Anolis sagrei: one gene and its partners. The protein of the gene in region 1 interacts with the protein of each later gene in a pairwise test. Links are inferred from orthologs where the notes say so. Each region holds a gene or a part of one and is shown in the gene's direction. Other genes may lie near its edges.

Evidence for each region.
Region 2: the proteins of TFIP11 (region 1) and LMO1 interact in binary tests that used the Homo sapiens proteins (3 or more experiments, as listed by UniProt). The two-hybrid records come from large-scale screens. The link is inferred for Anolis sagrei from reciprocal best matches to the Homo sapiens genes TFIP11 and LMO1.
Region 3: the proteins of TFIP11 (region 1) and GPS2 interact in binary tests that used the Homo sapiens proteins (3 or more experiments, as listed by UniProt). The two-hybrid records come from large-scale screens. The link is inferred for Anolis sagrei from reciprocal best matches to the Homo sapiens genes TFIP11 and GPS2.
Region 4: the proteins of TFIP11 (region 1) and ZC2HC1C interact in binary tests that used the Homo sapiens proteins (3 or more experiments, as listed by UniProt). The link is inferred for Anolis sagrei from reciprocal best matches to the Homo sapiens genes TFIP11 and ZC2HC1C.

Annotation. Positions count from the first base shown.
Region 1 is NC_090034.1:60,703,973-60,711,241, forward strand, and holds the start of TFIP11 (tuftelin-interacting protein 11), read left to right. Parts: upstream 1-4,248; 5' UTR 4,249-4,404; intron 4,405-7,269. UniProt on the Homo sapiens protein: Involved in pre-mRNA splicing, specifically in spliceosome disassembly during late-stage splicing events. Intron turnover seems to proceed through reactions in two lariat-intron associated complexes termed Intron Large (IL) and Intron Small (IS).
Region 2 is NC_090021.1:250,807,671-250,815,677, reverse strand, and holds the start of LMO1 (rhombotin-1), read left to right. Parts: upstream 1-4,999; 5' UTR 5,000-5,833; coding exon 5,834-5,858; intron 5,859-8,007. UniProt on the Homo sapiens protein: May be involved in gene regulation within neural lineage cells potentially by direct DNA binding or by binding to other transcription factors.
Region 3 is NC_090026.1:4,566,079-4,573,388, forward strand, and holds the start of GPS2 (G protein pathway suppressor 2), read left to right. Parts: upstream 1-4,299; 5' UTR 4,300-4,395; coding exon 4,396-4,489; intron 4,490-6,329; coding exon 6,330-6,439; intron 6,440-7,310. UniProt on the Homo sapiens protein: Key regulator of inflammation, lipid metabolism and mitochondrion homeostasis that acts by inhibiting the activity of the ubiquitin-conjugating enzyme UBE2N/Ubc13, thereby inhibiting 'Lys-63'-linked ubiquitination.
Region 4 is NC_090021.1:304,973,476-304,981,191, forward strand, and holds the start of ZC2HC1C (zinc finger C2HC domain-containing protein 1C), read left to right. Parts: upstream 1-4,714; 5' UTR 4,715-5,124; intron 5,125-7,716. Other genes in the region: ACYP1 (acylphosphatase-1), read right to left, coding at 236-451, 1,522-1,722.

The DNA of each region.
Region 1 (7,269 bases):
TCGACCTTACAACCATTGACTTGTGGGGTCCCACAGGGATCAATGCTGTCCCCCATGTTGTTTGACATTTACACTGGGGGAGATCATCTGGAGTTTTGGAGTTCAATGTCATCTGTACACAGATGAAGTCCAACTCTATCTCTCCTTCCCACCTGCTACTGAACTGGTCCTGAACTTGGCAACTGTCACAGTCTGGATGAAGGCAAATACATTGAAACTGAATCCAGACAAGACAGAGGTACTCCTGGTCAGTGGTAAGGCCGAACAGGGCATAGGGTTACAGCCTGTGTTGGATGGGGTCGCACTCCCCCTGAAGACGCAGGTTCGCAGCTTGGGTGTGATCCTGGACTCAACGCTGAGCCTGGAACCCCAGGTTTCGGCGGTGACCAGGGGAGCATTTGCACAGCTAAAGCTTGTGCGTCAGCTGCGCCCGTACCTTGGGAAGTCTGACTTGGCCACGGTAGTCCACGCTCTGGTTACATCCCGTTTAGACTACTGCAACGCTCTCTACGTGGGGTTGCCTTTGAAGACGGCTCAGAAGCTTCAACTAGTCCAACACTCGGCAGCCATGATTCTAACAGGAGCGGAACGCAGGGAGCATACAACCCCCCTGTTGTGCCAACTCCACTGGCTACAGATTTGCTACCGGGCTCAGTTCAAAGTGCTGGCGTTGGCCTTTAAAGCCCTAAACGGTTCCGGCCCAAGCTACCTATCCGACCGCATCTCTGCCTATGAACCCACCAAGACTTTGAGATCTTCCGGGGAGGCCCTGCTCTCAATCCCGCCTGCCTCACAGGTACGGCTGGCGGGGATGAGAGATAGGGCCTTCTCGGTGGTGGCCCCTTGGCTGTGGAACGCCCTTCCCACAGACATTAGACTAGCTCCATCATTAATGGTATGCCGCAAAGAAGTGAAAACCTGGTTGTTTGAGCAGTGCAATGAATGTAATGAACATAGTCAGTGCAATGAATGTAATGAACATAGGAATGGAACAATGGATGACGGATCTGGATCATGTTTTTCAGTGACGAGACGCTAGTGAATGGCTATTGTTATTAATTGTATATTATTGTATAATGTGTTATGATGTCAACTGTTTTTTATACCGTGTTATTGTAGCATTGAATTTTTGCTGTTCTTGTTGTTTACCGCTGTGAGTCACCTAAGGGCTGAGAACAAATAAAATAAAATAAAATAAAATAAATAATTTAATTGTGTATATTATGATGATGTCCAACTCTGTCACTCCTTTCCACCTGCTACTAAGGAGGCTGTCCAGGTCCTGAACCGGTGTCTGGCCGCTGTGACGGTCTGGATGAGGGCGAACAAATTGTAACTGAAGCCAGACAAGACAGAGGTACTCCTGGTCAGTTGCAAGGCCGAACAGGGTATAGGGTTACAACCTGTGCTGGATGGGGTTGCACTCCCCCTGAAGACGCAGGTTCGCAGCTTGGGTGTGATCCTGGATTCTCCACTAAGCTTGGAACCCCAGGTTTCAGCGGTGACCAGGGGAGCATTCGCACAGTTAAAGCTTGTGCGCCAGCTGCGCCCGTACCTTGGGAAGTCTGACTTGGCCATGGTAGTCCATGCTCTTGTTACATCCCGTTTAGACTACTGCAATGCTCTCTACGTGGGGTTGCCATTGAAGACGGCTCGGAAGCTTCAATTGGTCCAGCGTGTGGCAGCCATGATACTAACAGGGGCGGCACACAGGGAGCATACAACCCCTCTGTTGCTCCAGCTCCATTGGCTACCAATTTGCTACCGGGCCCAATTCAAAGTGCTGGTGTAGGGGCAAAAACGATCAAGACAATCCACAAATCCAAAATCCAAGAGCAGATTGCCCCTTCCCAAGGAGGGCGAGGAAGGACACCACGAAAGTTGAATCTTTAAAACTGCAAAATGCTATTTATTGCGCAGCTGAAGCAATAGTGACAAACATGCATATGGAAATGCAATAAAGGGGTTTGTCCAACCTAAAGTTGGTTGCATTGATTATTTATGACTTTCATTAAAACAGTTTGATTGGTACATAGAAATCAATCATCTCATTGGTTCCCAAAGACAAATCATTTCATTGGTCTAAGTTAGCTATGCAGTTGTTCATTAGTTGTTTATGATTTTGATTTTTTTTTTTGAATAGTGTTTATTCAGGATTTTTTTTTTTGAAGACACATAGCTAAAACGTACAATTATACAGTTACACTGTTACACTGTTACACAGTTACACAATTACACAAATATTCAGTTATGGTCCGCTAGGCATTGAATATTGCACAATAAACATTACATATTCCACAGTCAGCCCTGGGGTTGGGGTGGGTATAGGGTAAAGGGAGGGAAAGTGTGGGCGGGGGGGGGGGGGGAAGGTTAGTGGGGGGGGGTGCTAGAAGGTTGGTGCTACATAGCACCTACACACACAATTACAGAGGCATCATTCTATCGACAAGTTACAATCAACAAGTGGACTTCCTCAGAGATTCAGCAGAGTTATACTAGTAACAATAGAAAACAAAGTCTCTTGATCGTCTACGCCGCTTCCCAAATCTTGTAAAATTATAAAATTATACTCTTCTTTTCTTTCAAATATTGCCTGAATGGTTGCCAGTCAATCTTGCGTCTCTCGCTAATCTCGTAAGTCATAGTTGCAAGAGTGTCCATCTCCATTAAATCTCTAATTTTTAATAGCCAGGTATCAATTTTTGGTAATTCCTTACTCTTCCACTTGCCGGCGAGCACAATTCTGGCGGCTGCTGAGAAGTGAAACAACAACATATCTTTGTTAGGGTCTAACTGAAAATCTAATAAATGTAAAAGATAATATTCTGCTTTAAACTCCACTTTTATCTGCAGGATCTTCTGCACTGCCCTATGCACCTCCCGCCAGAAGTTCCTGACTTTTTTGCACTGCCACCATGCGTGATAGTGGGTACCCAGCTCCCCCCCACACTTCCAGCAGTCACTGTTCGTTCCTTTGTGGAATTTTGCCATCTTCTGTGGAGTTAGGTACCATCGGTGGAAGATTTTTTGCCAATTTTCTAGTATGTTGGTGGATTTTGCAAATTTTAATTTTCTCTTCCATATAGCCTCCCACTCGCTGAGGAGAATAGAGTGCCCGAAATCAGCTGCCCAGCTGGTCATATTCTCCTTTACAACTTCCAGTTCAGTTTCCCACTCCAGGAGTTTCCCATAAAGGGTTCTGACCACTTTTTTATCCTTTTCCATTATTTTGTCCCACAGTGACTCTTGTGGGGAGAAGTCTTTCTTTTTGTCTTCCTTAAAGCAGTCAGTAATTTGCATATAATGGAACCAGGAGATTTATGATTTTGATTGACATTATAGCACACATGGCTTTGGCCTATAAAGCCCTAAACGGTTCTGGCCCAAGTTACCTATCCGCATCTCCACCTATGAACCCACTAGGACTTTGAGATCTTCCGGGGAGGCCCTGCTCTCGATCCCGCCTGCAACACAGGCGCGGCTGGCGGGGACAAGAGACAGGGCCTTCTCGGTGGTGGCCCCTCGGCTGTGGAACGGCCTTCCCACGGACATCAGATTGGCCCCCTCATTGATGGTATTCCGGAGGAAAGTGAAAACCTGGTTATTTGAACAGGCGTTTGAATAAGCAGTGCAATGAATTTCAGGAAATGGAACTACGACTGACAAGTTTGGATCATGATTCTAGTTATGAGACGCCACTGAATGTTTATTAGTGTTAAATTGTTTAATTTGTTTCTGTGTTAACTGTTTTTAAGTACCTTCTTGATGCCACATTGAATTTTTGCCTTGATTGTTCGCCTTGTTTTTGCTTGTTGTAAACTGCTATGAGTCGTGTTAGGGCTGAGAATGGCGGTATACAAATGAAGTAAATAAATGATAAATAAATAAATTATATTTAAAAATTATTATATTATATCCATATTTTATTATATTCTTATTTTCAATATATATATATATATATATATATATACACACACACACATATATATATATATAAATATATATACACACACACACACATTCTTGTTTTCAATTTGTGTATTTTATAGTATACTATTATTATTATTGTCATTAGTATTCTTATTATGAGCTTCATCCTATGAGTCTGGAAATGAGCTTTTCGGGCCACCGTAACCATCGAGACGAAAAACTAGAAAGTCAGAGATGAGAAAATGAGGGCGGTCACCACGAAACGTCGCTACGTCGCCCATTATTGTTTCCTCATTCAATCCGCTTGCTCCTGCAAGGCGTCACTTCCGGGGCGGGCTTCACCATTGTCAACGCTGAGCTCGCAGGCGCAGTCGCAGTCGCTTGAAGGCCAAACAGGAAGTGGCGCTCATTTCAGCGAGGAGAAGGCTGTGAAGAAGAAGCAGGCCTTTGTTTCCCTTTCACGAAAGAAGGAAGGTAAGAAATATATATATATAATATTATTATTATTGCCATATTTATGACTATCACATATTAATATATTTTATATTAATAAACTATTATAAAAGGGTTGCCATGGAAACCGTTACGGGGCTTGTTCTGCCTGGAAACAGTGGGTTAAACAGTATTTATTATTATATTTATTCTATTGTATATAATAATATGCAATTATCTATCTATCTTCTATCTATCTATCTATCTATCTATCTATCTCTATCTTCTATCTATCTATCTTCTCTCTCTCTCTCTCTCTCTATCTTCTATCTATCATCTATCTATCTATCTATCTATCTATCTATCTATTATATCTCTATCTATCTGCTATCTATCTATCTATTATATCTCTATCTATCTATCTTCCATCTATTATATCTCTGTCTATCTTCTATCTATCTATCTTCTATCTATTATATCTCTATCTATTTATCTATCTTCTATCTATCTATCTATCTATCTATTTATTATATCTCTATCTATCTATCTTCTATCTATCATCTATCTATCTATCTATCTATCTATCTATATCATCTATCTATCTTCTATCTATCTATCTATCTATCTATATCTATCATCTATCTTCTATCTCTCTCTCTATCTATCTATATCTATCATCTATCTTCTATCTATCATCTATCTATCTTCTATCTATCTATCATCTATCTATATCTATCATCTATCTATTATATCTCTATCTATCTATCTGCTATCTATCTATCTTCTATCTATTATATCTCTATCTATCTATCTATCTATCTATCTATCTTCTATCTATTATATCTCTATCTATATATCTATCTTCTATCTATCTATCTATCTATCTATTATATCTCTATCTTCTCTCTATATATTATATCTCTATCTATCTATCTTCTATCTATCATCTATCTATCTATCTATTATATCTCTATCTATCTTCTCTCTATCTATTATATCTCTATCTATCTATCTTCTATCTATCATCTATCTATCTATTATATCTCTATCTATCTATCTATCTATCTATCTTCTATCCATCTTCTATATCTATCTATCTATTATATCTCTATCTGTCTATCTATCTTCTCTCTCTCTCTCTCTCTCTCTTCTATCTATCTATCTTCTATCTATCTATCTATCTATCTTCTATCTATATATATAAAAATGCTCTGTGCATAATGAGTACCTTAAAAACAAAAGAACCAATGAACGAAAGCACACCAAATTTGGCAACAACACGTCTCACAACACAAGGAGTGACCATCACTCAAAAAATTATGATTTTGTCACTTGGGAATTGTAGTTGCTGGGATTTATAGTTCACCTATAATCAGAGAGCATTCTGAACTCCAACAATGATGGAATTGAACCAAACTTGGCACACAGAACCCCCATGAGCAACAGAAAATACTGGAAGGGTTTGGTGGGCCTTGACCTTGAGTTTGGGAGTTGCAGTTCACCTACATCCAGAAGCCACTGTGGACTCAAACAATGATGGATCTGGACCAAACTTGGCACAAGCACTCAATACGCCAAAATATGAACACAGATGGAGTTTGGAGGAAATAGACCTTGACATTTGGGAGTTGTAGTCACTGAGATTCACAGTTCACCTACAATCAAAGAGCATTCTGAACTCCAACAATGATGGAATTGAACCAAACTTGGCACACAGAACTCCCACGACCAACAGAAAATACTACAATGGTTTGGTGGGCCTTGACCTTGAGTTTGGGAGTTGCAGTTCACCTACATCCAGAAAGCACTGTGGACTCAAACAATGATGGATCTGGACTATACTTGGCACAAATATTCCATATGTCCAAATATGAACACAGATGAAGTTTGAGGGAAATAGACCTTGATGTTTGAGAGTTGTAGTTACTGGGATTTATAGTTCACCTACAATCAAAGAGGATTCAGAACCCCAGCAATTGGGGCAAACCTCCCACACAGAACCCCCATGACCAACAGAAAATACTTAAGGCCATCCACTCCAACTCTCTTCTTCACGAGGGCAAGAAAATGTAATCAGAGCCCTCCTGACAAAGAGCCATCCAGATATAGATATAGATAGATATATATGATTCACACACACACATAGTATCATAGATTTGAAAGGGACCCTTAAAGAAGGACAATTATATGTTGCATGTTCCAGGGTGGGCAAACCAGACACTCTCCACATCAACACTGAAAAAAAAACCAAGAAATACTGTTTACCCACAAGCATAAAGGAATTACATATATTAGAAACCAACACTTTCTCATTACTTTATTTTCCAGATCATCAGACTGGGCCACAGCAATGCGTGGCAGGGGACAGCTAGTGTGTGTGTGTATATATATATATAAATGCTCTGTGCATAATGAATACCTTAAAAACAAAAGAACCAATGAACGAAATCACACCAAATTTGGCAACAAAACGTCTCACAACACAAGGAGTGATCATCACTCAAATATTATGATTTTGTCACTTGGGAGTTGTAGTTGCCGGGATTTATAGTTCACTTACAATCAAAGAGCATTCTGAACTCCACCAATGATGGAATTCAACCAAACATGGCATACAGGACTTCCATGACCAACAGAACACACTGGAAGGGTTTGGTGGGCATTGACCTTGAGTTTGGGAGTTGTAGTTCACCTACATCCTGAGAGCACTGTGGACTCAAACAATGATGGATCTGGACCAAACTTGGCACAAGCATTCAATACACCCAAATATGAACACAGATGGAGTTTGGGGGACATAGACCTTGACATTTGGGAGTTGAACTTACTGGGATTTATAGTTCACCTACAATCAAGGAGCATTCCAAACCCCACCAATGATGGAATTGGGCCAAACATCCCACATTG
Region 2 (8,007 bases), on another chromosome or scaffold:
CCTCCCAAAATTAAGCACCTTTTAATTGTGTGGATTTCAGTAACCAAGATATTTAACTCTTCCTTGAAATCATTGGGACTTTTAAAATTGTTTTAACATTAGCTGTATTGTGCTACTAGTTTATTCGTCATTTGGAGACCATTAAACACACACAAGCACACACACACCCTGTTTGGACAAAGGAGAATAAATGGAGGAAAAAGCTAAATATCTCTACTTTAGAGGGCCTTGTCCAGCATTATCAACTATTCTTTAAAATTAGTGAGAAACGTTTAGATGGTGTAAGGCATCTTCTTCCTCTGAAATACTGTAATGATAAGAATCTGCCTCAAATAACAGAAAGTTAAAAGAAGCTAGTGGTATTATTTGGGGACAACGATGCTTCAAAAATTATTATATGAGTTCCTTCGGGGAAATAGGGTGGTCTACAAATTTATTATTATTATTATTATTATTATTATTATTATTATTATTATATTAGAGGTTGATAGTTATTGAAGTTTAATAGTATATTAGAGAAGTATTGTATTTGTTTTTATAATTCATTTCAACAACCCAAGCTGACCGAAATCCTGCTAAACAGATGCTGTGAATGTTTGAATTTGGAAGAAGTGATGCTTCCAAATGCAGTGCTTTGATGCTTTGGTCTGAAACTACTGGTGATTAGGTTTGTTGGGAATGACTGGAAGATTTCTTCTGAAATAAGGGATCGTGGTATAAAAATCCCACCTATAATGTTTGTATTCTTGCTCTAAGAAGTGGGTAGTGGCTAAAATTGGAAGTTTCGGGAACTGAATGAAATGGTTCTCTGGGCAAAATGATATATTGGACATCAAATACATCCAGGAACTATTAGGGTTAAGCATTCAAAATGAAGGGAATGACCACATTATTTGAGTTTAAGATAAGAAATCTAATTAAAAATAGGTATTATGGGTATCTGGCTTGAACTTGCTCTCATGCTTTTAAAAGGCGATTCTTGTATCTGTTGTAAAGTAGAGGGAGAAGTATCATGGAGACTGGGGGAAAATGTTTTCTTGGGTTGCAAAAAGGCAATCAGACACTTATTCTTTAGCAACACATACATAAAAGCCTTACTCGTGGTTTTTGCAGTAGAAACACAGAAACTATTGAGGATACAGTCTGAGATATATGTGCAGAGAGAGGTACTCCATTTCAGATTTGGATGTTGCCAGCTACGTTAAGTGTTGCAGTGACTTAGCTGGGAATGGTGGGATGATTGAACTGAAGGAGGGCTTTGGTGAAAGGGCTCTACACTTTCCATACTCAAGGCATCATTAAGAGGAGAGGCAGGCTCTTAATTTTCTATGAAATCCTGCCCCTTTTATGCAAGAACCCATGATTTAGATTAAGAGTTTGTATGACTATTATATTTGATATATGGTACTTGAGTCCATTGTGATACAATGGGTTAAACCCTTGTTCCAGCAGGACTGCAGCTTGAAAGGTTGGAGGTTCAAATCTGGGGAACGGGGTGAGCTCCCATCTGTCAGTTCCAGCTTCCCATGCAGGGATATAAGAGAAGCCTCCCACAGGATGGTAAAACATCTGGGCGTCCCATGGGCAATGTCCTTGCAGATAGGCAGTTCTCTCACACCAGAAGCGACTTTCAGTTTCTCAAGTTGTTTCTGGCATGAAAAAAAATGATACTGCATTCAGAGATGAGAAGCAGAGTGTGTTTTATAAAGTTATTTGTTAGATCCATTCAGACACAGAAATATTGGATGTAATGAATTCAGACATAAGGTGAAAGACTCACTTGTATGATAACCTTCAACCTTGTCTGGTGGGAACCCATTTGTTTGAAATCAAACTTGCCTCATGCATGTACACTTACCGAAGGAGAGAAAAATTACACAATGCAGGTTGATTATCCTTATCTGGAAGGAGCCGCAGTGGTGCAATGGGCGAAACCTTTGTGCCGGCTGAACTGCTGACCTTAAGGTGGTGGTTTGAAGCTGTGAGATAGGGTGAGCTTCCATCTGTCAGCCCCAGTTTCCCATGAAGGGACATGAGAGAAGCCTTCACAGGAGGGTAACAAATCCAGGCATCCCCTGGGCAATGTCTCTGCAGACGGCCAATTGTCTTACACAAGAAGCAATTTGCAATATCTCAAGTCGTTCCTGACATGGAAAAAAAAATCTGGAAGGAACTGTGATGGCACAATGGGGTAAACCCTTGTGCCAGCTGAACTGCTGACCCAAAGGTCAGTGGTTTGAATCCACAAGGCAGGGTGAGCTCTCGTCTGTCAGCTCCAGCTTCCCAGGCAGGAGCATGAGAGGAGCCTCCCCAGTCCAATTCTGCAAAAGTCCAATTCTTTCACACCAGAAGCGACTTGCAGTTTCTCAAGTTGCTTCTGATATGATAAAAAAATCCTTATCTGGAAATCCAAAATCTGAAACTGCCCACATGAGTAGCTGAGAGTGACATCCTTTCTTTCTGGGGGTTCGACATAGACAAACTTTCTCTCATGCACAAATGTATTAGGTATAAAATTACCTTTGGGCTGTGTGTGTGAAATGTATATGAAACATAAATTAATCAGTTTCCAATATACCTCATAACTTCTGAGGATGCCTGCCATATATGTGGGTGAAATGTCAGGAGAGAGTGCTTCTGGAACATGGCCATACAGCCCAGAAAACTCAGCAGCCTAGTAATTCCGGCCATGAAAGCCTTTGATAAATTAATTGCCTGTTTAGACTTGGGTCCAATCTCCATGATAGCTCGTGATATACATATATGCAAGCCCAGGCATTCCAAACATTCCAAAATATGGTTGGGGGGGGGGGGGGGAATCCCAAATACTTCTGCCTCCAAACATTTTGTATAAGGGACCCTCAACCTGTATTGTTTCACATCCCATAGTGAAAAGAGGATGCATATGGATGTATCAATCTCTAAACATTGCCTCTGGAGCATGCAATTTGATTTGTTGGAAGTCCCTGGTCATGTTGGTTTGGAAGTGAGCAGAAAGTAGGGTGTGCTTTGCAAGAGAATCTGTGTATAAATAAGAGGGGGAAATATAGGGATAAGTTTTCCCTGAAGGAAAAATATAGGGGAAGTTTTGCTTGCCCTGGAGCCCCTGATGGTGCAGAGGGTTACAGTGTGAGCTGCTGAACTTGCTGACCTAAAGGTGGCAGTTTGAATCCAGGGAGTGGGTGAACTCCTGTTGTTAGCCCCAGCTTCTACCAACCTAGCAGTACTAAAAATGCAAATATGAATTGATCAATAGGAACTGCTTTGGCGGGAAGGTAACGGCGCTCCATGCAGTCATGCTGGCCACATGACCTTGGAGGTGTTTATGGACAATGCTAGCTTTTCGGCTTAAATATGGAGATGAGCACCACCCTCCAGAGTCACACACAACTAGACTTAATTCAGGGAAACCTTTACCTGTTGCCTGCCCCACAGATTAAAGGTGGGTTCAAATCACAAGGACACGACTAGACTTAATGTCAGGGGAAACTGCCCACTGTGAGAGCAGTTCACAGTGGAACTCTTTGCCCCGGAGTGTGCTGGCAGCTCCTTCTTTGGAGGCTTTTAAGCAGAGGCTGGATGGCCATCAGTTGGGGGTGCTTTGAATGCAATTTTCCTGCTTCTTGCCAGGGGGTTAGACTGGATGGCCCACAAGGTCTCTTCCAACTCTAGGATTTAATGAAACCTTTCCCTTTTGCCTGCCCCACAGATTAAAGGTGGGTTCAATCACTAGGACACAAGTAGATGCAATGTCAGGGGAAACTGTCCACTGTGACAGCTGATCAGCAGTAGAACTCTCTGGAATGTGGTGGAGGCTCTTTCTTTGGAGGCTTTTACGCAGAGGCTGGATGGTCATCTGTTTTCTTGCTTCTTGCCAGGGGGTTAGACTGGATGGCTCACAAGATCTCTTCCAACTCTAGGATTCAGTGAAACCTTCCCCTTTTGCCTGCCCCACAGATTAAAGGTGGGTTCCAATCACTAGGATACGACTAGACTTAATGTCAGGGGAAACTGTTGACTGTGAGAGTGGTTCAGCAGTGGAATTCTCTGTCTTGGAGTGTGGTGGAGGCTCCTTCTTTGGAGGCTTTTAAGCAGAGGGATGCATTGAATGCATTTATTTATTGATTGATTTACTACATTTATATACCGCCCCTCTCAGCCCAAGAGCGACTTGGAGCAGTTAACAATCGGCAACAATTTGATGCCAAAACAATTACAATAATTAAGAATCATAACACTAGCAAACAATATAAAAATATAAAAACCTTAAAAGCATTCTCATAAGCGTCTCCATATCAAATCATTGTCCCGTTGCATTGTCAGTGGTTCCAAGATATCATATATCTATTTCGTATTTGGGAAGGCCTGCTCAGAAAGCCAGGTTTTCACCATTCTTTGAAAAGTCAGGAGGGAGGGGGCCGATCTTATCTCTCTAGGCAGGGCGTTCCACAGTTGAGGGGCCACCACTGAGAAGGCCCAAATGCATCTGCGAAGAAGGCGTGACCGAGAGCAGAAGATCCTAATGTCCTATATCAGTGATTTTCACCCTGTGGGTCCCCAGGTGTTTTGGCCTACAAATCCCAGAAATCCCAGACAGTTTACCAGCTATTAGGATTTCTGGGAGTTGAAGGCCAAAACATCTGGGGACCCACAGGTTGAGAACCACTGTCCTAAATGGTTCATAAAGAGAGATACCTTCGGATAGGTAAGTTGGACCGAAAACCGTTTCCCTGCTTCTTGGCAAGGAGTTGGACTGGATGGCCTTCGAAGTCTCTTCCAACTCTAGGATTCAATGCAACCTTTCCCTTTTGCCTGCCCCACAGATTAAAGGTGGGTTCCATTCAGGAGTAAACCTAGTGACCTGAAGAAAGATGAGCCCGAAAAGGCAGGCACAAAGTTGATGGCAAGTGCCCCCCTCCAGTGCGTTGCCTTTCCTGGGCTTAGCGCAGAAGGTGCTGCAGGTGGTGCTGCTGAGCTGGAAAGCTTTGCCTTCCCCATTAGAGCCTGACAGAAGAAGAAGAAGAAGAAGAAGAAGAAGAAGCGGGGGTCCCTGGAAATGAGCGCATTTATTCAGCAGCCAGGGCGCAAGGCTCACACAAATGGAGAGGCACAGGAGGCGGCAGCAACAGCAATAGCAATAGCAATAGCTCCTCGGCAGCGGCGGCGAGGTGTTTTCCTTCTTCCTCCTCCTCCTCCTCCTCTTCCTCTTCTTCGCCTTGGTCCCTCTCTTCCCCTCCTCCTCCTCCTCCCTCTGGCTGAGTGTAATTTTTAGATTGAGATCCAGCTTCTATCCGAGGTGGGGGGAAAAACACTTTCTCTAAGGCTGAAAGCGGTAGAGTTGCCACCGCCAAGGTGATGGGCTATCAAAGGCAATTACATTAAAACAGATTATACTGTGCAAATTGAGCCATTTAGAAGGTGAGAGAAGCACCAAAGGAGCCGCGCCGAGCCTCCCCTGCTCCTTCCTCCTCTCTCTCTCTCTCTCTCTTTCTCTCTCCCTCTCTCCCCCCTTTTGCTCCTTCAATTGCAGTTTGAGTTCCTTGCAATTCAGGGGGAAAGGCAAGTGGGAGAGGGCGCTTTTGTATCTGCAAAGTGCTGCGTTTCTCGAAGGTAATTCTAACTGAGTGCAATCTAGGTTAAAAGCCGGGCAACTGGATCATTAGAGCTCGCGCTCGCTGCGAAAGGACAATCCGCCGCGCGACGCCGGGGCTCCTCTGGGCGCCCAAGAAGAAGAAGAAGCAGCAGCAGAAGAAGAAGCAGAAGAGCCTCTCCTCCTCCTCCTCTTTCTCCTCCTCCTCTTCCTCCGCTCCCCGGACTTCCTGCGACCCCGGAGATGATGGTGCTCGACAAGGAGGACGGTAGGTGAGCCCAGCCCCGGAGCAGCAGCAGCAGCAGCGCCCGGGGAGTGTCTGCATGGGTGTGTGTATGGGTCTCTCTATGCATACATACATGCATTCTAGGCAATCCAAGCCTGCCTGGCTTCTTCGCCTTCCATTCCTCTCTCCTGACCCTCTGCCAAAGGACAGCGTGCTGGACAGTTCTGTTCCTGGATGGATATCAGACCAGAGTTCAACCCAGCTCGCTTTCCTTGGGATTCTGGGAGCAGGATAGTTTCCAAAGAAGTTTTGGGAAGGGGGAGGAGAGCGTGTTCTTTCACATTTGCAGCATTTCCTCCCATTTCTTCAACTTTCTTTTGGGGGAAATACGAACATTTCTTATGAGTGGGGCATCTTTAGCATTGGGTACCTATTATGCATCTCCCTTTCCTTATAAATAGGGTGTGATGCATAATAGGTACCCCCAATGCTAAAGGTATCCAGTGTAAATAGGGTGATGACAGGGAATGCACCTGCTAATGGGCTCTGATTGGTTGTGTTGATAGAAGGCATTCACATTTCATGCCATGAGTGATGCTTTAGAAGTTGGGCAACTGCTTCTACTTTTGGAAATGTATTCATCTGAAGCAGCCCAGGGGGGGGGGGGGGGGTCTGTTGATACTGGGAGACTTAAAGTGCACATTCAAAAGCTGTAGCATAGCTTGGTTGTAGCAGTGTAGTTTAACTCTGCCGTCCCGCTGACAGGCAACTAACCTGGGTCATTTCTAGGCAAATCAGCCAGGCAAATCACCCAGGTAACTAACCTGGGTGATTTCTAAGAAAAAATATAAAGAGAGAAAATTATTTCCAAGTCTAGGAAAATGTGTTGTCAAAGACTTTCATGGCTGGAATCACTCGGTTATTTGAGTTTTCTGGGCTGTATGGCCATGTTCCAGAAGCATTCTCTCCTGACATTTCACCCACATCTATGGCAGGCATCCTCAGAGCTTGTGAGGTCTGTTGAAATCTAAGCAAGTGAGGTTTATATGCTTGTGGACGGTCCAGAGTGGGAGAAAGAACTCTTGCCTGCTGTTTCCAATATAACTCACAGCCTCTGAGGATGCCCGCCATAGATGTGGGTGAAATGTCAGAAGAGAATGTTTCTGGAACATGACCATACAGCCTGGAAAACTCTCAGCAACCCAAGTCTAGGAAGGCACGTTATCTGTTTCAGCTTGTTATGGAACATTTTTATAAGTAGGAAGGATAATTTGCCAATTTTGGGGCCAATTATGTTCATTATTATCATTACCACTAATACTGCTACTTTTGCTATTTTGAATAGAACAGGAGAGACAACAAAGCAAAAGCTGAAAAGTTATCCATTCCCTGACATTTCTTTCGCTTTTCCTGTCAAAAAACAGCACAGGACAAGCTAGAGAGAATGAACTTAAGTGAGATAAAATGTCAGGTTTTGTGTGTAGCGATATTGTTATGATGTGCTATTACTTGTATTTCCAAAGTGACAGCTGTTAGGTGTTTGTGCATAACCATCCGTATTATCGATTACGTGGAACATGACATATTGTAATAAGTAGCCCCAATTTCTGAGGCTGAAACTCTTTCAAGTCTTCCAGAGGAAGTGCTGTTAAATAACGCTGGACCTTCAGTTGGAGAAAGTGCTCCACAGAACTTTTCATGTAGGTATATTATTTAAAGCAGTTGTGAATATTAAAAGACATCTGTAGGTTACCCAACTTGGCAGTGTATAATTATTAGTTGACAGCATTGGCTGGCTCTTTCAATAATGTCGCTTTCATCAAGGCTAATTTACCACGATGGCTGGAATGGGACACAGCTTAGAATACAATCCAAACATTTTGGGGAAATTGATAGCTATAGATGGCTCATAAAAGGCATATGATGTATCCGCTGGTGTGTTTAAAGTGAAAGAGAATAATTTGTATTTTTGTGTAAGTGCAAAATTTTCATCTCTATGTGGTGTGTTGTCTGAGTGAATGCTGTCAAGCATCATGACTAGATGTAATTTATTGCATGTGATCATTATGACCACATTTGTCTTTCAGTGAGCTAAAAATACATTTAATTTGACGTTTTAATGTGCTTTTCATCACTTGATCATTTTGACAGCCTTATTGTTTGTTTTTCTTTTTTTAAACTTTCTGATCCT
Region 3 (7,310 bases), on another chromosome or scaffold:
CAGAACATCCGTCTGTACCCCCCACACCAGGTCCTGGAGTCCCTCAGGTGGTGGACAACGGAGGAGCACGTCCTTGCAGGCATGGCTTTCAGACAACCGCGCCCATCCCGCTGCCTCACAACGGATGCGTCCACGCAAGGATGGGGGGCTCACTTCCAGAATCTGACAGTGCACGACAGATGGTCTCACGAGGAGGCTGCCTACCACATAAATTACCTCGAGCTCCTAGCCGTCCAGAAGGCCCTGCGTGCTTTCGAGCCCCATATCACCGGGCGCGCTGTACAACTTCTCACGGACAATACAACTGTAAAATGTTACATAAACAAGCAAGGCGGGATGCGCTCCTCCGACCTCCTCGGCTTATCCACAGCAATATGGGAATGGTGCATCCCACGAAGGATACATCTCACGGCAGTGCACCTCCCGGGCGAAGACAATACTCTCGCCGATGCCCTCAGTCGAGCACAGACATCAAATCACGAGTGGCAACTCCATCGAGACGAGTTCCGGTTCCTGTCCCGCCATTGGGGCCAACCAACCCTGGATCTGTTTGCGTCGCCAGTGAACGCACAGTGCGACACGTTTTGTGCCAGACGTCACCCCGGATCGACCCAAGGGTGCATGGGGGACGCATTCATATTCAGCTGGTCACCGGGCCTACTATACGCCTTCCCCCCAATCCCGCTGATTCCCAGGGTGCTGACCAAATTGATCGAGGACAACGCGGATGCGATACTGGTCGCCCCCTGGTGGCCGCGCCAGCACTGGTTCGCTCCCCTCCTCAAAGCTTCGAGAGGCGAATACCTCCATCTACGAGACAGACCGGACCTCCTCTCCATCCAGGAGGGCCGGGTGTATCACCCAGACCTGGTCTCCCTGCGCCTCACAGCGTGGAGAATCCGGGTCCAGCCCCTCTCTCGGAGGCAGTGCAGGACATAATCGCAGCGGCCCAAAAAGCCACGACCAAGAAAGCATATGCATACAAATGGTCACGCTTCCGGGAATACCTCAAGCCTCTGAATGTTAACCCCCGGGAAGCCCCGATGGGGGTCATACTGGACTTTCTAGTGCATCTGTCCAACAAAGGGCTCTCCTTGTCTTCCATCAAATGCTACCTGGCGTCACTATCATGGTACTGGAGACAGACAGGGAGACCATCGTGCTTCCATGACCCCACGATACGGCTCTTCCTTAAGGGGTACTCCAACTTACACCCACCTGTCATGCCTCCTCCCCCAGCGTGGAGTCTAGAACTGGTGCTGTCACAGCTCTCCAAACCACCCTTTGAGCCACTGGCCACATGCGACCTGTCGCATCTCTCATGGAAGACGGCCTTTCTCGTGGCCATTATATCGGCCAGGAGAGTGAGTGAAATCTGTGCTTTGAGAGTTGACGCACCCTACCTACGATTCCACAAAGAGAAGGTGGTCCTCCGACCAGACGTCGCCTTCTTACCAAAGGTTGTTTCTAAGTTTCACCTGTCACAGGACATTTCTCTATTGGCCTTCTTCCAGAATCCTTCTTCTCCTCTGGAGGTTTCCCTGCATTCTCTAGATGTCAGACGGGCTCTAGCGTTCTACACTAGCAGAACCGCCCCCCACAGGAAGTCAGTCAAGCTTTTTCTGAAATACCGCCAGGACTCTCTAGGGCTACCTGTCTCCTCCCAGCGCCTCGCTTCGTGGATCGTCTCGACCATCAGACTTGCTTACCTGCTGGCAAAGAAAGAGCCCCCTCAGCAGATCCACGCCCACTCCACTAGGGCGGTGTCAACCTCGCAAGCTTTCCTGAGGGGTATTCCAATTGACGACATCTGCAAAGCAGCGACATGGTCCAATTCGTCAACATTCGCCTCCCACTACAGGCTAGATGCGATGGCAAGGAAGGATGCAGCCTTCGGCAGAGCGGTGCTGTTTTCCAGTGTCGCATGACTCCCACCTCCGAAGGTTGGTAGCTTGCTATTCACCCATTATGTGCGTTTTTCACAGACTACACGAAGGGGAAATGCGAGTTGCTTACCTGTAACTGCGTTTCCCGAGTGATAGTCTGTGAAATTCGCACATCCCCGCCCGACCTCTCCGCAGTAGTCATGCTTGTTCTATAGCTGCTGATAGCGGCTGCGGAACTGAGTCGAGGTTTCCCGCCTTGGGCATTTATAGTATGGGGAGTTTGGGCGGGGCGTCCGCCAATTAAAAGTTTCTATTTGAAAATTCTAGAAGGTTCCGAACGGCTGCGCATGCGCAGAACAAAACCCATTATGTGCGAATTTCACAGACTATCACACGTGGAAACGCAGTTACACGTAAGCAACTCGCATTTTTTTGATGTTGAGCTGCAACCCGGCTTTTGCGCTTTCTTCTTCCACCTTGATTAGAAGGCTCCTCAGCTCCTCCTCGCTTTCGGCCATCAGAGTGGTGTCATCTGCATATCTGAGGTTGTTAATGTTTCTTCCAGCCATTTTCACCCCAGCTTTGCATTCCTCAAGCCCCGCACATCCTCGCATGATGTGTTCTGCATACAAGTTAAAAAGGTTGGGTGAGAGGATGCAACCTTGCCGTACGCCTTTCCCAATCTGGAACCCGTCTCCTGTTCCGTGGTCAGTTCTGACTGTGGCTACTTGGTCCTTGTCCAGATTCCTCAGGAGAGAGACAAGGGGGCTTGGGATGCCCATCCCACCAAGAACTTGCCACCATTTATTATGATCCACACAGTCAAAGGCTTTAGAGTAGTCAATGAAGCAGAAATAGATGTTTTTCTGAAACTCCCTGCCTTTCTCCATTCTCCAGCGGATATTGGCAATCTGGTCTCTCGTTCCTCTTCCTTTTCTAAACCCAGCTTGAACATCTGGCAACTCTCGCTCCATGTATTGCTGGAGTCTTCCTTGCAGGATCTTGAGCATTCCCTTCCTGGCATGAGAAACAAGAGCTACTGTACGGAAGTTGGCGCAGTCTTTCGCATTTCCCTTTTTTGGTATATATATTAATATTATATTGTTACATATTATTCATACTATATTGTTATTCATATATAATATACTACATATCATTCCATATATTATTTATATATTATTTATTAATATGCATATATATATAATATTCCATATATTATTATTTATATACTATTTATTCATATGTGTATATATTTATATAATATATATTTTCCATATATTATTATTTATATATTCAAACGCATATATATAATATATTCCATATGTTATTAGTTATATATTATTTAGAGGAGAGGAGATTCCATCTGAACATGAGGAAGAACTTCCTGTCTGTGAGAGCTGTTCAGCAGTGGAACTCTCTGCCCTGGAGTGTGGTGGAGGCTCCTTCTTTGGAAGCTTTTAAACAGGGGCTGGATGGCCATCTGTCAGGGGTGATTTGAATGCAATATTCCTGGGGCTGGATGGCCATCTGTCAGGGGTGATTTGAATGCAATATTCCTGGGGCTGGATGGCCATCTGTCAGGGGTGATTTGAATGCAATATTCCTGGGGTTGGGTGGCCATCTGTCAGGGGTGATTTGAATGCAATATTCCTGGGGTTGGATGGCCATCTGTCAGGGGTGATTTGAATGCAATATTCCTGGGGCTGGACGGCCATCTGTCAGGGGTGATTTGAATGCAATATTCCTGGGGCTGGATGGCCATCTGTCAGGGGTGATTTGAATGCAATATTCCTGGGGTTGGATGGCCATCTGTCAGGGGTGATTTGAATGCAATATTCCTGGGGCTGGATGGCCATCTGTCAGGGGTGATTTGAATGCAATATTCCTGGGGTTGGATGGCCATTTGTCAGGGGTGATTTGAATGCAATATTCCTGGGGCTGGATGGCCATCTGTCAGGGGTGATTTGAATGCAATATTCCTGGGGCTGGATGGCCATCTGTCAGGGGTGATTTGAATGCAATATTCCTGGGGCTGGATGGCCATCTGTCAGGGGTGATTTGAATGCAATATTCCTGCTTGGCAGAATGGGGTTGGACTGGATGGCCCAGGAGGTCTCTTCCAACTCTTTGATTCTGTGATTCTATGATTTGTGTGTGTGTATATGTGTGTGTGTGTGTGTGTGTATAAACATATGAATAAACATATTGGAATGACAATATGAGCTCGTTTGAGCCACAACAATAGCAGCTTCTCCCAGAAACCCACTCTTCTAAGACTTCAAGTCCCCGGATGCAGCTGCTGTGTCTGAGTTGGCAGGGGACGAAATGGAACGGAAGTCCTTTGCTCCGTGTTGCGGGAGGGGCGGCTGTCAGCGTGGCACCGCGGGCCGGAACCGGAAGTAGCCGTAGTAATAGCGGAAGCGGGCGGGTCTGAGGAGAAGGAGGAGAGCGCTTTTCTTTCTTTTTTTCCTCGTTGGGCCTTCGGGTCTTCTCTTCCCCGGCCTTCGCCATGCCGGCGCTGCTGGAGCGGCCGAAGCTGAGCTCGGCCATGGCGCGGGCCTTGCACCGGCACGTGATGGTGGAGCGGGAGAGGAAGCGGCAGGGTGAGACCCGGGGAGAGGGGCAGCTAGGCTAGATACACTCCTTCATGGCGCTAGAGGGGACATCCCAGGGACATCCAGGCCAACCCTCAGATAGATAGATAGATAGATAGATTCATGGCATTGGAAGGGACACTTAAAGGCCATCCAGTCCAACCCACAGATAGATAGAGAGAGAAATAGATAGATAGATAGATAGATAGATAGATAGATAGATAGATAGATAGATAGATAGATAGATAGATAGATAGATAGAATTATGGAGTTAGAAGGGACACCCAAAGGCCATCTAGTCCAACCCACAGATAGATAGATAGATAGATAGATAGATAGATAGATAGATAGAGATGCACTTAGAAGGGACACCCAGAGGCCACCCAACCCCAATAGATAGATGATAGATACATTGATTCATCTCTTCATGGCGTTAGAAGGGATATCCAAGGGACATCCAGTCCAACCCCCAGATAGATAGATAGATAGATAGATAGATAGATAGATTCATGAAGTTAGAAGGGACCCGAAAAGCCATCCAGTTCAATCCATAGATAGATAGATAGATAGATAGATAGATAGATAGATAGATAGATAGATAGATTGAATCATGGTGTTAGACGGGACACCCAAAAGACATCCAGTCCTACTCTCAGATAGATAGAGAGCTAGAAAAATAAATCCATGATATTGGAAGGGACACCCAAAGGCCATCCAGTCCAACCCACAGACAGATAAATAGATAGAGAGATAGATGCACTTAGAAGGGACACCCAGAGGCCACCCAACCCCAATAGATAGATGATAGATACATTGATTCATCGCTTCATGGCGTTAGAAGGGATATCCAAGGGACATTGGAGTCCAACGTTCAGATAGATAGATAGATAGATTCATGAAGTTAGAAGGGACCCGAAAAGCCATCCAGTTCAATCCATAGATAGACAGATGGATAGATAGAATCATGGTGTTAGAAGGGACACCCAAAAGACATTCAGTCCAACTCTCAGATAGATAGATAGAAAAATAAATTCATGGCATTGGAAGGGAGACTTAAAGGCCATCCAGTCTAACCCACAGATAGATAGATAGATAGATAGATAGAATTATGGTGTTAGAAGGGACACCCAAAGGCTATCCAGTTCAATCCTCAGATAGATGCATAGATAGATAGATGCATAGAAAGAAAGAAAGAATGAAAGAAAGAGTGAATGAATGAATGAATGAATGAATCATACACTTACAAGGGACACTCAGAGGCCACCCAACCCCAATAGATGATAGATACATCGATTCATTGCTTAATGGCGTTAGAAGGGATATCCAAGGGACATCTTGCCCAACTTTCAGATAGATACATAAATAGGTAGAAAGGCATTGGAAGGGACACTTAAAGGCCATCCAATCCAACCCACAGATAGATAGGTAGATAGATAGGTAGGTAGATAGATAGATAGAATTATGGTGTTATAAGGGACACCCAAAGGCCATCCAGTCCAACCCTCAGTAAAAAAAAAAAGGTTGGGAACCACTGATGTAAGAGTTTAAGTACTGGACTAGAACTCTGGAAGACCAGGGATCAAATGAACCCTCGCTCGGCCATAAAAAGCCCCTGAGTGGCCTTGGGAAAGTGCCTCTCTAAGCCTTAAAGGAAGGCAACAGGAAAACCCTTCAGGATAAATCTTGCAAATAAGACCCTCAGAATCACCTTGAGGCACACAGCAACCACCTTCCTCTGAGTTGAGGTTGACCCTTCCGACTAGCACCAAATTAAAGTTTTGCACTCGACATTGTCCCTGTATTGTTCCAGGAAATCAATTATCTGTGGACCTCTCTTTCTGTCCTGCAGAGGAAGAAGAAGTAGACAAAATGATGGAGCAGAAGATGAAAGAGGAGCAGGAGAGGCGGAAGAAGAAAGAGATGGAGGAGCGCATGTCTCTGGAGGAGACCAAGGAGCAGGTCGGTGGTTGGGACCAGATTCCAATGCCGTGTGCCTTCGGAATCCACAGGGCGTTCATTCCAGGATTCCCCAAAGATGCTAAAGAATGTGCAGGCTCATGTCCCTTTTAAAATTGTGTATAGCAGCAGCACAAGTTGCAGCAAGCCTCACTAACAATCCTCTTCTCCCTTTTGAGTAAATCCTTTCAGTGGAGTTTTCCTATTTCCAACAGACCTCACTACCTCTGAGGATGCTTGCCATAGATGCAGGCAAAACGTCAGGAGAAAATGCCTCTAGAACATAGCCATATAGCCCGAAAAACCTACAACAACCCGGAGTTAAAACAGACATAATAATAATAATAATAATAATAATAATAATAATAGTAATAGTAGTAGTAGTAGTAGTAGTAGTAGTAGTAGAACTACAAAGACTCTGGCACAAACCAGTAAATGTGGTCCCAGTGGTGATGGGCACACTGGGTGCAGTGCCTAAGGACCTTGGCCTGCACTTAAACACAATCAGCGCCGACAAAATTACGACCTGCCAGCAGCAAAAGGCCACCTTACTGGGATCTGCATGAATTATTGGCCGATACAGGACAGAGTCCTAGACACTTGGGAAGTGTCCGATGTGATCCAATACAACAGCCAGCAGAGTGATCTTGTCTGCTGTGGACTCATCTTGTTGTGTTTCTAATAATAATAATTCTTGCCCGCCACTCCCCACAGCTTGGGGAGGTCACAGCACAGTTAAAAACACACAAATCTATATATATAAATCTGTTAGGTTGGTTCAACGGGACAGCAAAACTCTAAAAACCCCCAACAAAACTTAACCAAAATTCCCATGCCCATAACACAACCCACAAGGTACAAACATATCTACTCA
Region 4 (7,716 bases), on another chromosome or scaffold:
GTCAAGCTTTTCAATGTGGCAATCCAATTTTTGCATACTTCTGGAGGTATGCTCTATTAACACATCAAGGTTATACATTACTAAGTCTGACTATATATTTGGCCATTCAATAAACACTAAATAAATAACATTTGGGAGTGAACAAATATGCATGTAAACAATGAACAAACAGAAAACTAAAGGGAAAACTTGAGGCTCTTTCCATGAATGAGGTGCTGTGCTCCCTTGGCCCTTGTTATTTGACAATAGAAAAATCACTATGTTCTAAGCGAGTGATCTTCTTCTCGCTACGGAATTCAGCTCGGTCAATGCGGGACTTGGGACTTCCAGTCTTCTGAAGCCATTCTTGAAGCTGCCGAACCTTGAGAGTTGGGCCTTGGATCTGTCCTTTCACAGTGCCTTGGTCAGTGTTCTGGACCCAGCCAACTACACCTAGTTTTTTTCCTTGAGCCTAAAGGAGAAAAATCCATATACAGAATATCTCCTGAAGAAGATGCAATGATCTGTCTGAATACAGAGAAAAGTATAAGCTGCCTTTTTTTTATAAGAATCGATTTCCTTAAAAGAGTAAAAAAAAATGCTGTTCAACTCGTTTCTGTTATCAACCCTCTATCCCCACCCCTGGAAATGCAAAATGAATATATTTTAAGCTACTTTGGGTGTCTTTAGAAATATAAAGTGAGACATAAATAAATAATAGCCAGACAGCTGATTCTAACAGCATTAACCTTGAATGTTTCTGCTCTTAAGTAGGGTCCCTTCAACGCTGCCCTATATTCCAGGACCCCATAATAATAATAATAATAATAATAATAACAACAACAACAACAACAAGTTTATTTGTACCCCGCTACCATCTCCCCAAGGGACTCGGTGCGGCTTACATGAGGCTGAGCCCAAATACAACAATACAGACAATAAACAACAATACAAGCCATTAAAAATAAAAAAAGATAAGCAATAAAATATACAACATTATCACTAAGACAACACACAATTAAAAACAGTGGGAAGGCCAAATGTAAAGTTAAAATTGGAAATAATGTTGGGATAATGTTTATCCCAGATTATATGGCAGTGTAGACTTATATAATCTAGTTCAAAGCAGATACTCTGGGATCAGATCATGGGATATTGGGCAGTGCAGATCCAACCTCAAGGCCCTTCCACACAGCCATATGACCCAGAATATCAAGTCAAAAAATCCACAGTATCTGCTTTGAACTGGGTTATCTGAGTCCACACTGCCATATATCCCAGTTCAAAGCGGATAATGTGGGATTTGATTCAGGTGTGTGGAAGTGGCCTTAGCCTCACTCAACTCAAGTAGCCTTAATTTATGTTAGTCCAGGTATGGGAAAACGTTGGCCCTCCAGGTGTTTTGGACTCCAACTCCCACAATTCCTAACAGCCGGTAGGCTGTTAGGAATTGTGGGAGTTGGAGTCCAAAACACCTGGAGGGCCGAAGTTTGCCAATGCCTGTGTTAGTCAAACCCTTGACATGCCAGGATGGGCAGATACCTGTGTGTATTTGCGGAAAAACACCTCTTGCACTTTCCCGAACACTTCGTAATCGATTGACACGAGTCCATCTCCCTCAGCCATGGTCAGCGGTCCCTGGATCAAAAGTAAAAGTGCCATTAGGCCAGAGAGATAACGCAGATACAGAGCCCATATCCCCCCACCAGCCCCCAGAGATGGCTCCATGAGGAGAGCTGGCATGTCCTCTGAAGGGGGAAGTCGAAGGCCAAATGTCAAGGCAAGGGCAGAGGGTAAACCCTGCCTTCATTTGCATCTTCATGCATATGTAAAAAGGGGGCGGGGGATCGCTTTTGGCACCTGCAGGGTCTTTGGGGCCGCCTGAACGTATACCCGACAGCCTCCCTTCCTCAGAAGAGGGGCCGCCTTCCTCAGCCAATCAGCAGCCAGCTCGCGCGTTCAGGGTTCTAACCGCCACTAACGGCTCGACTGCGAAACCACAGAGCTGGCCTCCGTCTCTGACTAGAGAGGCCCCTCCCTAAGCCGTAGTCCGGAAGTGAGGCTGTTAGGAATTGTGGGAGTTGAAGTCCAAAACACCTGGAAGGAGGCCCAAAGTTTGCCTATGCCTGGTATATACATACACACACAAATATACTATATATCAGGCATGGCCAAACTTTGGCCCACATTCCAGGTATTTTGGACTTCAACTCTCCCAATTGCTAACATCCAATAGACTGGGTTGTTGGCGATGTTCCATAATAATAATAATAATAATAATCTTTATTTATACCCCGCCACCATCTCCCCAATGGGGACTCAGAGCGGCTTACATGAGGCCAAGCCCAAATGATAATTACAATAAAGAAAAACCAAAAACACAAACCGAAAACACGAACAATAAACAATAAAATCATAGTTGCATAAAACATATGAATACATAACAATATTAAAAAATATGCACAGGCACAATAATAATAGGCAGGCTACATGTAGTGATTAAAAAGACAAACTGATGAAAACTGATTAAAATTCTCTCCTGACGTTTCGCCTGCATCTATGGCAGGCATCCTCAGAGGTTGTGAGGTCTTGTTAGAAACTAGGAAAATTGGGTTTTTTCAACAGATCTTAGAGGAGGTGTGGTTTTAAAAAGGGAATTTTCAGAGATGTTCCTAGTGCCTATATTTATTTATTTCCAGCATTTATATCCCGTCCTTTTCAACCTCCAAAGAGGGACTCGAGACAACTTACATTTGGCACAATTTGATGTCATTAAATATAACATAGCGATATAACAACAATTAAAACAATAAATAGAATATTAATTAAAACAATAAAAATAGTATTAACCGCTGTATCACCATTCCAGTCTAATTCCATATCCAAAGTGCTATTTATGCCTGCTGTCCAAAAGCCTGGTCCTAGACCCACGACTTAAATTTCTTCCTAAAAGACAGGAGGGATGAAGCCAATCTTACCTCGTTGGGAAGCAAGTTCCACATGCAGGGGGCTACAGCCGAGAAGACCCTGTCGTTCGTCCCCGCCAGATGTATTTGCAACACTGGCGGGAGCGAGAGCAGGGCCTCCCTGGATGATCTTAAACTGCAAGGCGGGACTTAGTGGGAGATGCATTCGGACAAGTAAGCTGGGCCAGAACCGTATAGAACTTTATGGCTCAAAACCAGCACTTTGAATTTAGTTTAGAAGTGGATTGGTAGCCAGTGGAGCTGACACAAGAAATGGGTGGCGTGCTCCCTGTATGTTACTCCAGTTAGTAATCTGGCTGCAGCCCGTTGGACTAGTTGAAGTTTCTGAACAGTCTTCAAAGGCAGCCCCACATAGAGTGCGTTGCAGTAATCGATTCAGGATGTAACAAGATGTGCACCACTGAAAGATCTGAAAGAGACCTCTTTGTTGCTCATTAGTTCAGACGTTTCCGACTCTTGGTGACCTCATGGACCAGCCCACACCAGAGCTCCCTGTTGGCCGTCACCTCCCCAACCTCCTTCAAGGTCAATCCAGTCACTTCAAGGATACCATCCATCCATGTTGCCCTTGGTCAGCCCCTCTTCCTTTTTTCTTCCTTCCCCCCCAGCATAATTGTCTTCTCTAAGCTTTCCTTTCTTCTCATGATGTGGCCAAAGTACTTCATCTTGGCCTCTACTATTCTTCCCTCCAATGAGCAGTATTTATTTATTTATTTACTTTATTTATATACCGCTTTTCTCAGCCCTCAGGCGACTCAAAGCTGCGAACAACATCGATACAAAGCATCACGAGACAAGTATAGGGCAATTAAAAACAATTGTAACATAAATCATTAAACATCAGAATAACAATCATTAGTGCCTCAACAGTAAAATCAGAATCCAGTCTCATCATACATTATTCCATTCCTATGTTCAATGACATTGTTTAATCAAATGCTTGTTTGAACAGCTAGGTCTTCACTTTCCTCCGAAACGCCAGCAGGGAGGGGGCCGATCTGATATCTGCAGGCAGGGCGTTCCACAGCCGAGGGGCCACAACCGAGAAGGCCCTGTCTCTTGTCCCCGCCAAGCGTGCCTGTGATGCAGGCGGGACAGAGAGCAGGGCCTCCCCAGATGATCTTAGTGTCCTAGTCGGTTCATAGGAGGAGATGCGTTCGGAGAGTAGCATGTTCCAGAGTAGTAATGAGATCACTGACAAAGAAACAGCAAGAAATACTGTTTACCGCCACAAGCATAAAGAAATTACATATATTATTTATTTATTTATTTATTTATTTATTTACTGTCCTTGTATACCGCCGTTTCTCAGCCTAACTGGCGACTCAACGCGGTTTACAACAAAATATACAGTGCACAGTATACAATTAAAACCATAAAAAACATAATACACAATATTACACGAAATCACAAAATCACAATCCAATACATCTCCTAACTAAAATCGTGGTCCAATTGCATCATCCATATTACCAATCCGTAATCAACACATTCATTGCACCGAATTAACCAAATGCCTGTTTGAACATCCAAGTTCAAGTCCAACCCAAATGGACTTCAACTCCCAGTCTCCCCTGCCACTACAGTGAGCGTCAAGGGATTATGGGAGATGTAGTCCAGCGGCGCCTGACAGGCCCGATTGGCACTTCGCGTAAAAAGGCAGAACAGGAATGGCTAGGCGGCATGTGCGTGAGCGTTGCTAGGCAACAGAGGTAAACAGCCTACCCAGAGAATCGGGGTCAGAAGGTTGGCGCGGCAGCGGAGGGAAGCAGGGAGAGGGGGCGTGGCGGCGCGCTAGCACACGTTGCCATAGCGACGTGGCCGCTCTTTGGGCCTCGCGGCGTTTCGAGGCAGGAGATCCATGTCTCCTCGTTATCGGTGGCGGGTAAGCCCTCCGGGCAGTTGCTAGGAGAGGACGCTTCCGTTGTGTGACGATGCTCTAACTCGCTGCCCGCCTGCCTCCTGAACGAGATGGCTCTCGATAGTAAACACACCAGAGTGCGAGCGCCCTTGAACTAGAGACGTCACCTCCACTTCACGAAAATTAGCATAACTGCGACCTGAGGCTCCTGCCAAACCCAGGGCTCGTTTCTTCAGAACCAGAGGCCAGAACCAAACGCCCGTTTTCTTGCTGTACGTTTGAACGAACCGCACTGGGGTAAGTCATCCCTGAGGGAAGACCTCTGTCTTAACCCTTTGGCTGGCTTTATTTGCAATATATACCAGGCCTGGGAAAACTTGAGCCCTCCAGAGGTTTTGGACTTCACTCCCACCATTCCTAACAGTCTCAGGCCCCTTCCTTCCTTGGGCCCTCCAGGGTTTTTATTATTATTTATTTATTTATTTATTTTATTTACTTTACTTGTATACCGCAGTTTCTCAGCCCAACAGGCGACTCAACGCGGTTTACAACAAGGATAAGAATCAATCAACGATATATAATTTAAAACCATAAAAGCATAATATACAATATTGACACAACAATAGACAACACAATGCATCTCATAACTAGAGTCGTGATCCAATCCGTCGTCCAAATTTCCATTCCTGTAATCATCACATTCATTGCACTGTTTAACCGAATGCCCGTCCAAACATCCAAGTTTTTAATCTTCTTCGGAACACCATTAGCGAGGGGGCTGATCTTACCTCCATAGAAAGGGCGTTCCACAGCCGGGGGGCCACCACAGAAAAGGCCCTGTCTCTCGTCCCCGCCAGCAGGGCCTCCCCAGAAGATCTTAGGGTCCTGGTGGGCTGATAGGCAGAGATACGTTCGGATAGGTAACTTGGGCCAGAACCGTTTAGAGCTTTATAGGCCAACGCCAGCACTTTGAATTGAGCCCGGTAGCATTATTATTATTATTATTATTATTATTATTAATTTAGGAACTAACGGTCCCCTGCCACGCATTGCTGTGGCCCAGTCTGGAGATCTGGAAAATAATTAGAAAGTGTTGGTTTCTCATATATGTAATTTCTTTATGCTTGTGGGTAAACAGTATTTCTTGTTCACTAGAGTTAAAAAAAACTCTAAAATTACAACAGCAAAACAACAGAGAGGAAACAATCAGGCACATCTAATCACCTCTCAACAAAAGATTGCCCCAGGCACCAACATGCCACATCGCTTCACTTCACTTTATTTCTTAATTAGTCGCTCTCCACCAAGGTGCTCCGAGCGACTTACAATCTAAAATAGCATTTACACAATATAAAAACATTCAACATAAAAACATTCAACAACATCAAACAACTGCCAGGCCATCAAATGCTAATCAAGGTGGTCAGTTGAAACATTCACACCTAGCTCCAGCAGACAAGAGTTCTTTGTTCCACCCTGGTCATTCCACAGATATATAAACCCATTTCCCTAGTTCCAACAGACCTCACTACCTCTGAGGATGCTTGCCATAGATGCAGGCGAAACGTCAAGAGAGAATGCCTCTAGAACATGGCCATATAGCCCAAAAAAACCTACAACAACCCAGTATTCCTTGTTGTTTCTTTGTCAGTGTTGATGTAGAGATTGTCTGGTTTGCCTACTCTGGAACATGCAACATATTATTGTCCATCTTTAGGGGTCCCTTTCAAATCTATGAGACTATATCTGTCATATACATATGTGTGTGTCTCTGTGTGCGTGTGTATCACATATATCTATCTATATCTATGGCTGGATGGCTCTTTGTCAGGAGGCATTTGATTATGTTTTCTTGCCCTGGTGAAGGAAGTTGGACTGGATGGCCTTAAGGCAGCATTTCTCAACCTGGGAGTCGGGACGCCTGGGGGGGTTGCAAGGGGGTGTCAGAAGGGTTGCCAAAGACCACAAGAAAACACAGTATTTTCTGTTGGTCATGGGGGTTCTGTGTGGGAAGTTTGGCTCAAGTCTATCGTTGATGGGGTTCAGAATGCTCTTTGATTGAAAGTGAACTATAAATCCCAGTAACTACAACCCCCAAATGTCAAGGTATTTTTTCCCCACACTCCGTGTTCACATTTGGGCATATTGAGTATTCATGCCAAGTTTGGTCCAGATGCATCATTATTTGAGTTCGCAGTGCTCCCTGGATGTAGGTGAACTACAACTCCAAAACTCAAGGTCAATGCCCACCAAACCCTTCCAGTGTTTTCTGTTGGTCATGGGAGTTCTGTGTGCCAAGTTCGGTTCATTTCCATCATTGGTGGAGTTCAGAATGCTCTTTGACTGTAGGTGAACTATACATCCCAGCAACTACAACTCCCAAATGGCAAAATCAATTTTTTGAGTGATGGTTATTCCTTGCTTTAGATGTCTTGTGGTCAAATTTGGCAGCAATTCGTCCAGCGGATTTTGAATTATGATGTCACTCAAAACGAACAGAGCATTTATTTACACGCACACACTAGCTGTGCCCTGCCATGCGTTGCTGTGGCCTATAGTAAGAATTTTCGAAGTAGAGGTAGATATCTGGACTATTATGAAAGGGCATTACTTACCTATTCCTTCCCTTTTTCTTCCCCTTCCCCTTTTTATCCTTTCTTCCTTCTCTCTTTCCTCCCTTCCCTCCCCCTTTCTCTACTTTTTATTTTGTCTCCTTTCTTCCATTTCCTTCCTTCTTTCACTTTTTATTTCCTTTTCTCCTTCCTTCCTTCCTTCCTTCCTTCCTTACTTACTTACTTACTTACCTCTTTCCTGCCTTTCCTTACCTTTTCCTTTCCTTTCTACTTTCTCTTCTTCCTTCCTTCGGTACCTCTTTCTTTCCTTCCTTCT